2 linked regions of the Canis lupus familiaris genome follow. The protein of the gene in region 2 purifies or fractionates together with the protein of the main gene of each other region. This does not show direct contact. Links are inferred from orthologs where the notes say so. Each region holds a gene or a part of one and is shown on either strand. Other genes may lie near its edges. The genes, in order: EVI5 and RAB11A.

Region 1 (3,813 bases), on a different chromosome or scaffold from region 2:
GAACTATATCTGAGCTTGTATTTCAGGTCTGCCACTTACTGGCTATATTGACCTTTCTGAAGTTACTTAATCATCATTTCCATTTTCTGACCTGTATAATGAAGATAATAGTACATAACTATTAAAGTTTTCTGGGGATTAAATAAAATAATGTATATATAGTGCTAAATATAGTACTGGACATGAAATAAGTTCCAGGAAAGTTAGCTCTTATTTTGATACTGGGAATATTTGTTGCAATATAATTTTTTCTGTCTTTTAGCGCCACTTAGCTCGTACTACTGGGAGATGGAAAGACCCACCTAAGAAAAATGCTGTAAATGAGTTACAGGATGAACTGATGACCATTCGACTTAGAGAAGCTGAAACTCAGGCAGAAATAAGAGAAATTAAACAAAGGATGATGGAAATGGAAACACAGGTATGATGGGAAAGCCCAGTACCTTTAAAAAATGGCCATTAGCATGGGACACCTGAGTAGCTCCATTGGTTAAACTTTGGACTCTTGATTTTGGCTCAGGTTATGACCTTAGGAGTACAGGTGTGGAGCCTTCTTAAGATTCTCCCCCCCCCCCCCCTTAAAAAAAAACATCATGAGCAGGTCAAAATCTATGCACAGGTTATATCATCTCTAGAATAGGTGTAGAATAGATATAAAAGATGGATATATGAAACTGTCTAGACTATAATTTCCTAGCCCAAATGAAAACCGCTAAAAATTGTAGTCTTTGATATCAGAGATTTTAATGTTTTCTTTGACCCAATCGGCAAAGTTTAAGCACGTCATAAAACTGTATTTAACTTGTTGCCTTATTGCACAAGTTGAGAGGAAATATTCATGTAGAGCAAAATTTCTCAACCTTGATTCTTAAGATTTTGAACCAGGTAATTCTTTATTTGGGGGACTGGCCTATGCATTGTAGGGTGTTTACCAGTATCGCTGTCCTCTACCCACTAGATCCAATTTCACTGTACTCCCCACCCCAGGTTGTGATGACCAAAAGCATCTCCACACATTGCCAAATGTCCTTAGGGGACATAATTGCTCCTGGTTGAGAATAATTGGCGTAGAATATAATGTGAATGATGCTTCCGTATGTGTAATGTGGTGACTCTGAGCAGTTAATTCCAAATTTATACTTCTTTTTTCTCAAGTCTCCCCTTTCTGTAATAAATTCTATCTTAAATATACTTGATTTAAGATCTGCAAAATTCTTTTAATGGAACTCACTTGCGTTATAAAGTATATTTAATTTTTATGTGGTACATTTGTGTGGACCATATTCTTTCTGTATTCTCTGTAATGTTAGTTGGTTTTCTAAGTACTTAGTCACTAGGGGGCATAGTTAACTCACGTATCATTCTGTATACCTATAGGTAAAATTGTCTGAACTTGAATATGGTCACACGAATCTGTAAATCCTTTAGGTTAAACAATATACCTTGTTTTACACTGTTCAAAGTTATTTTCTTGTATTTTTCATTATAATTAAAAATAACAGTAAAATTTTGAAAAGTAGAAATCTAGCTTCTGGGACACCTGGATGGCTCAGTGGTTGAGCATCTGTGTGCCTTTGGCTTATGGCATGATCCTGGGGTCCTGGGGTTGATTCCCACATTGGGCTTCCTGCATGGCGCCTGCTTCTCCCTCTGCCTGGGTCTCTGCCTCTCTGTGTCTCTCATGAATAAATGAATAAAATCTGAAAAAAAAAAAAAATAAAGAAATCTAGCTTTTGTATTGGGAAGTTTTATTTCATAAAAGATTTTTATCTCCTTGTACACACATTAAAGATGCAATACAGCCTATAAGCCTATATTCAGGGTTTTTATCGTTCTTTTTTTTTTTTAAAGACTTTATCTAATTTGAGAGAGAGATCATGAGAGCACACAAGCAGGGGGAGAGGGAAAGGGGAGAAGCAGGCCTCCCACCAAGCAGGGAGCCCAAGGCAGGCTCAATCCCAGGACCCGGGGGTCATGACCTGAGCAGAAGGCAAACGCTTAAATGACGGAGCCACCCAGGCACCCCTAGGTTTTATTTCAAAGTGGTGAACGAATCAAATTCACAAACATCGTTTTGAGAACTTTTGAATACAAACCACCGTCCAGCCATTAGAAAACTTAGCACATGGGAATCAGGCATGCACAAAATACATTTATTATAATTCACTATATTACATGATGGTTGTTAAATAATCATTTCACACTATATGTAAATCAAGTCATTATTCTGTATACCTTAGACTTACACAGCACTATATATATCAATTATATCTCAATAAAATTGGAAAATGTGTAATTTTGAAATTTGGTAATTAAAGAGTTCAATAGAGGGATCCCTGGGTGGCGCAGCGGTTTGGCGCCTGCCTTTGGCCCAGGGCGCGATCCTGGAGACCCGGGATCGAATCCCACGTCGGGCTCCCGGTGCATGGAGCCTGCTTCTCCCTCTGCCTCTCTCTCTCTCTCTCTCTGTGACTATCATAAATAAATAAAAATTAAAAAAATTAAAAAAAAAATAAAGAGTTCAATAGAAATTGCTATGGAAAATAGGAGGGGAAAATAAATTCCAACTAGAAAGTTTAGGGAAAAGCTTGAACAATTTGTACTTTGAATTGTACCTAAGAGTGATTTTGAATGGATTTTGCTGGAAGAGGAATGGCATAAGGCACTTTTTCCTAAATGCCAGTGCTCGAACTAGTGATGGTCCATACAGAGCATCCAGATTAAGAGATTTGTCCTTGTTGATACATGTAGTTTCAATTCCTTAATTTTAGAAAATTTTAGTGCCTTTTAGAAAATGCCGAGGAAGTACATCTTAGTTTATTGAACCACACTCTTCTTTCTGTGTGCCAGTTTTTGCTATTACAGATAGTGCTGTTCTGAACATTCTTGCACATATTTCCTAGTGGATAGCTCTAAGAGTTTCTTCAGGACAGAGTTTTTTTTTTTTTTTTTTTTTAATACCATAAACCTCTTTGGCAGTCTGGAGCCTCTGGACTCTTTCTCAAAAATAATGGTTTTTTAATGCATAAAGTAAAATACATAGGACTGCAAAGCAAACTAGTTATATTGAGGTACAGTTGTCAATATACAGGTACAGAGATGTACACAACGCATTCACATGGCTGGATTCAGGTTTTTAATATTTTGGATTTTTTTGTACCTAAGTTAAAATGTACAATTTTTCTTTTGGGGGAGGCTTTTACTAGTTTCAATAGAAAGGTTATAAAAAGCTCATGGAATTAATTGGATTGTATTTTATCTTTTTTTGTTATAGTTTATAAAATACTATCTAAGATTTGAATTACTTGTCACTTCAGTATTTACTGGAATCCATTCCTTTAAACAGTGTTATCTTTTTGTTTTGTTTTGTGTGAATAGTAACTATCAATCCTACTTACTGAAAAGTTACAAGTCTTTTCAGGTTTTCTGTTTTTTTGTCTTGAGTCTGGTTTGGTAAGTTAATGTTTCCCTTCCATTTCATCTAAATTTTCAAATTTATCACTTAGAGTTGTTCAGAGTAGTTTTTAAAGAAATATCCTTTCTTTCTACTGGATCAATATTTGTCTCTTTTTTCATTTCTAATAGTGTTTATTTGTGCCTGTGTATTTTCTTGGAAAGACACAGAAGTTGACCGTATTTTTTAGAAACTTGCCATTTTTAATATTTCTAAAGACTGGGGGCAAAAAAAAAAAAAAAAAAGGCTGGGGGCAGCCCGGGTGGCTCAGCTGTTTAGAGCCTGCCTTCGGCCCAGGGCATGATCCTGGAGTCCCAGGATCGAGTCCCATGTCGGGCTCCCTGCATGGAGCCTGCTTC
Region 2 (4,340 bases):
CCTGCTCTCTCCCCACATTACATTCCCATTTGGACTACTCTATCCTGTACGAATCAAAATATACCTTCATTTTCAACTGGTTAGAGTTACAAACTAACTTCCAATTCCCTCAAAGTGTGAAGGTGTGCTAGGTAAGCAATCTTACAAGTAGAAGGGCCTACCTCATCTCAGTGAATAAACCTCTGAAGAATGAAACTAGTTTAAAATGGATTATTGTTGCTTTGCTTTAAGATATAACTCTATAAATAAAAAATTGGCTAACTAATCAGCACTAAAGTAAAAAAAAAAAAAAAAAAGTGACTCATATCCTGTAAGAGCTTTAAAAAAGTGGAAATTCTTCTCAGCAAAATCTTTTTAAGACCCAATCTTAAGAAGCAAAATGTACAACAAAATGAAAACATAACCCATGGAAACATAAAATACTTTAAAAGTTCCTACTTTTAAATTTCTCTCATAATACTTGAATGCTCTTGTGAAGATTTAAGGTTCAAAAAGCTGACAAGAACCACAGAACTTTCTTCACATTATTATCACTTACTGAATCCTCAAAACCAGTCTCATTTAATTCTGAGAGATAGGTATTATTTCCTTTTTAGAGATGAGGGAACTGAGGCTCAAAGGTCACAAAGCAAGTTTAAGACCTGAGTCAGAATCTGAATCCAAGCCTGCGTGATTCCAAAGCTCTCTGCCCTCAATCACTATTAGGATGGTCTAATCCCAAAGTTAAGTTAAAATCCCTTAAACCAATCCAGGACAGCTAATATTCTTAGTGGGGGTGTGGGGAATGATTTCTATAAACAACAGTCAAGCTCCACATCAAACAGGAGAAAGACTTGTGAGTTGCTAGTCCATCTTGTTCTAAATCACTTCAAAGATACCTAGCTGCTTACTGCCTTGTACCTTATTTTAAGAAATCTTTTAAGGACTAAACACCAGTCTCTAGGGCCTCACCTAAGTAATTTCACATGACCTCAGATGCCCTCAGCAAAGAGTATGCTAAAGAACCCATGCTTCCTTTTTGTATTTATAAAATGCACTAAGTAAGCTCTTCTCTGCAGACGACTTTCCACTCACTATGGGGGAGCAAGGATGAACCCTGTACTCACCCTATATTTACAGAATATTGTAGCCCAGAGGAGTTAGGTGGTGGTAAGATTTGCAAAGTATTGGTAAAGCAGTGTTTCCTGCTTCCTTCAGTCAATCATTCTTAGCACCCAATGGCAAGGTCAGAAACCATCACCATGCTTAACACTCTTTTTAAAAAAAACTCCACCCTCCACTGTAAAGCCTTAATAGCAATGGCTTCTTCCTCTCTGGTAATGATCTTTGTTCAGCATACTATACTGATGGCTGCCCTAATTCAGGAGCAGTGAAAGAGCATCTGAGCGAGAGCGCAATCACCGAACAAAACAAACAAAACAAAACAAAAAAGAGCATTTACCGTACTCTTCCTGGTTAAACACTGTACCCTTTATTTGTGTTGATACCAACTACCGGGATTCTTTCCCGAGTAACCAATAAGCAATTCTTTCTATCCATTCCCCACCCTCCGGTATGTTCTGTCCAAGGGCACTAACAGGTTTCCCGATCTCGCCATACATATTAAATTCCACCAAAGAGCACACAACTGTACCCCTAGCCCCCCCCCCCACCTTTCGGGGAAAGGTTATGTGGCTAAAAAGTGGGACTCTTTCCCTTCCTGTTCTAAAAACACCAAAAGATCGGGATCCTCCCGGCGTTGCAGCAGGAAGCAACCCGTCCACAGTGATAAAGCAGGCGAGTATTTGTGCAGCGCACAACCTTTCCTGCTCAGGAACTGGGCCTTCAGGTCTGGCAAGGATAACAGCCACCACCCATCCGCAACCCCTTCTCGCTCGCAGTCTGGAGTTATCCCGGGCTGGCTGCCGCTGGGTAGGGAGAGGAGGAGGGAAAAGAAAAAAGACAAAAAAAAAAAAAAAAAAGCCCAGATGGGAAGTCCCAACAGTGTGTCGGGTCACTGCGACAAGTGCGCGCGTGGGTGACGGGCAATCCCTCCTGCCCTGCCCCCCACCCTCGGGGTCGCACGGGGGACGCGGGAGAGGTCCCGATTATTTGGGGGAGGAAAGGGAGGGAGAGAGCGAGCAGCCCCGGGGGGTGCGGGGGGGGGGGCGGTGCGAGGCTATAACCGACCAAGGGGGCTATGGGGGCGGGAGGGGTGGGGACCCCCCGGCCCGCTCGGATTCCGACCGGGGCCTGGCGCGGGCCCGAGCGGCGCCGGTCCGGGGGGAGCAGGGCGCAGAGGTGGGGGGCCTGTGGTGGGAGTGTGCGCCTACGGGAAGGTGAGCGAGGGCAGGCCCGGTCACAGGGGCTCAGGCAGGGGCGCCGAGGGGGAGGGGCGCCAACCCGAAAAGACAGGGTGGGAGGGGCGGCCCTCGCCAGGGGCACCGGACCCGGGAAGCGCAGGCGAGCTGGAGGCGGCGGCCCGCCGTGGAAGGACACGGGGTGGGGGGCGCGGAGGCAGGCGAGGGCCTAGGGGGGTCGCTGCGAGCCCGGCGTGCGCGGAGGGCGCCCCGACCTGGGGAGAGCGCGGCGCGCACCGCACGGCCGGGAAGGGCGGAGGGAGGCCGGCTCCGGGGCACCGCCGGCCCGCGCGGGTCCCCAAGGGAGTGCCCCGGGGCCCCCGGACCCCGACCCGCTGAGGAAAGTGGGGCAGCCCACGGCCTCACCTTTGAAGAGATAGTCGTACTCGTCGTCGCGGGTGCCCATTGCGCGGCCGGGGAGCGAAGGGGCGGGAGCAGCAGCGGTACCGGTGGGACCAGGGGGCGTCGCTGCAGGGGTAACCCGAGCGCCGAGCCTCAGCTGCCGGACCGGGGAAAGAACCCCTCCCTGCCGCTACGTCACTTCCGGCCGGCCCCAGCCCCTCGGGGGAAGCACTTCCGGGAGGCGACGCTCCGCCCCCGAGCCCGGGAGGGGCGGTGCGCGGCCGAGTCGTGTCCGTCTTCAAATTCTGCCCCCTTCCCCCCAATTCTCCTCCCCCCTCCAAAGGCTTAGGTGGGGAATGCAGCTCTGGAGTCCCAGCTCTGAGCCGCCGCTTGCCACCCTCTCAATCCTCGCGCCGGCGTGCGGGGAAGCGGGGTGCTGGGAAGCCCGTCAGCCGCGCCTGCGCGTTGGGAGGCTGTGGTTGGGGGGCGGGGTCTCTAAGAATTAGAGAGCAGAGGGCGCCCGTGCGCTTGTGGCGGTTCCATGGTGTAATGGTTAGCACTCTGGACTCTGAATCCAGCGATCCGAGTTCAAATCTCGGTGGAACCTGCGGCGGTCTGCTTTTCCTTTCCTGACCATACTTCAATTCATTTATTTATTCGCCAAGTGATTGTGATACAACTACGATATGTATGGCCTTGAACGAAGCAGGGACAGAATTTCTCAAAGGATAATCTTTGCCCACAAAGGCCGTTTGGATCTGTAACCACTGTCACCTGGGTGTCTCCTAAGGAGCCTCTTCGCTTCGCCTTTTTTTTTCTTTTCTTTTCTTTTTTTTTTTTTAAATCTGGGTCTTTGCCTTTGTCGAAGCCAGCTAGCTTCAACAGCTTCGATGTAACTTGATTCCTTTATGCTACAATTTTCAACCTCTAACTTCATTCAAGGGCAGGCGCTTTTCACTCTTTTTTTTCTCTGGAAATTTCTCAAACTATCTCCAGATGTCATTCAGAGAACTTCGCCCACCCTCCTCATCAAGATTCATCAAGAACTTTTTGAGCCCTATTTGTCATGCTTTAAGCTAAACCCTTTTTTGCCCAAATTTGTCATGCTCTAAGCTAAACCCGTCTCCATAATAATTTCACGTAACGAACAGCAAACAGTGGCAATTTTCATTTTAGCGAAAAATGTGGAGTCTTAAGACTCAAGTGACTTGCCAAAGATCTCACAGCAGAGCCTCCCTGTATTTGAAAAGAGTGGAAAGGAAAGGAAAGGAAAGGAAAGGAAAGGAAAGGAAAGGAAAGGAAAGGAAAGGAAAGGAAAGGAAAGGAAAGGAAAGGAAAGGAAAGGAAAGGAAAGGAAAGGAAAGGAAAGGAAAGGAAAGGAAGAAAGAAAGAAAAGAAAGAAAGAAAAGAGTTGTGTATTATCACAAAATGTTTTTCCCACTTGCTGCCATACCCCCTACCACCTATATACAAACCTTCAATTTAGATTTTTGGGCAAGAGTGCCTGTGCTGAGCAGGATAATGGTTTCCTGAAGTTGTCCACTTCCCAATCCCTGGTAACTGTGAATATGTTAAATTATGTGGCCAAAGGGAATTAGGGTTACATAGTGGAATTAGAGTTGCAAATCAACTGAAAGAAGCTGTGGTCTATGTACACAG

What was found.
Region 1: the proteins of RAB11A (region 2) and EVI5 purify together in Homo sapiens (co-immunoprecipitation; 3 studies listed by BioGRID and IntAct, with this or other methods). This does not show direct contact. The link is inferred for Canis lupus familiaris from reciprocal best matches to the Homo sapiens genes RAB11A and EVI5.

What each region holds. Positions count from the first base shown.
Region 1 is NC_049227.1:56,869,853-56,873,665, forward strand, and holds part of EVI5 (ecotropic viral integration site 5 protein homolog), read left to right. Parts: intron 1-262; coding exon 263-421; intron 422-3,813. UniProt on the Homo sapiens protein: Functions as a regulator of cell cycle progression by stabilizing the FBXO5 protein and promoting cyclin-A accumulation during interphase. May play a role in cytokinesis.
Region 2 is NC_049251.1:30,623,274-30,627,613, reverse strand, and holds the start of RAB11A (ras-related protein Rab-11A), read right to left. Parts: upstream 2,860-4,340; 5' UTR 2,746-2,859; coding exon 2,706-2,745; intron 1-2,705. UniProt on the Homo sapiens protein: The small GTPases Rab are key regulators of intracellular membrane trafficking, from the formation of transport vesicles to their fusion with membranes.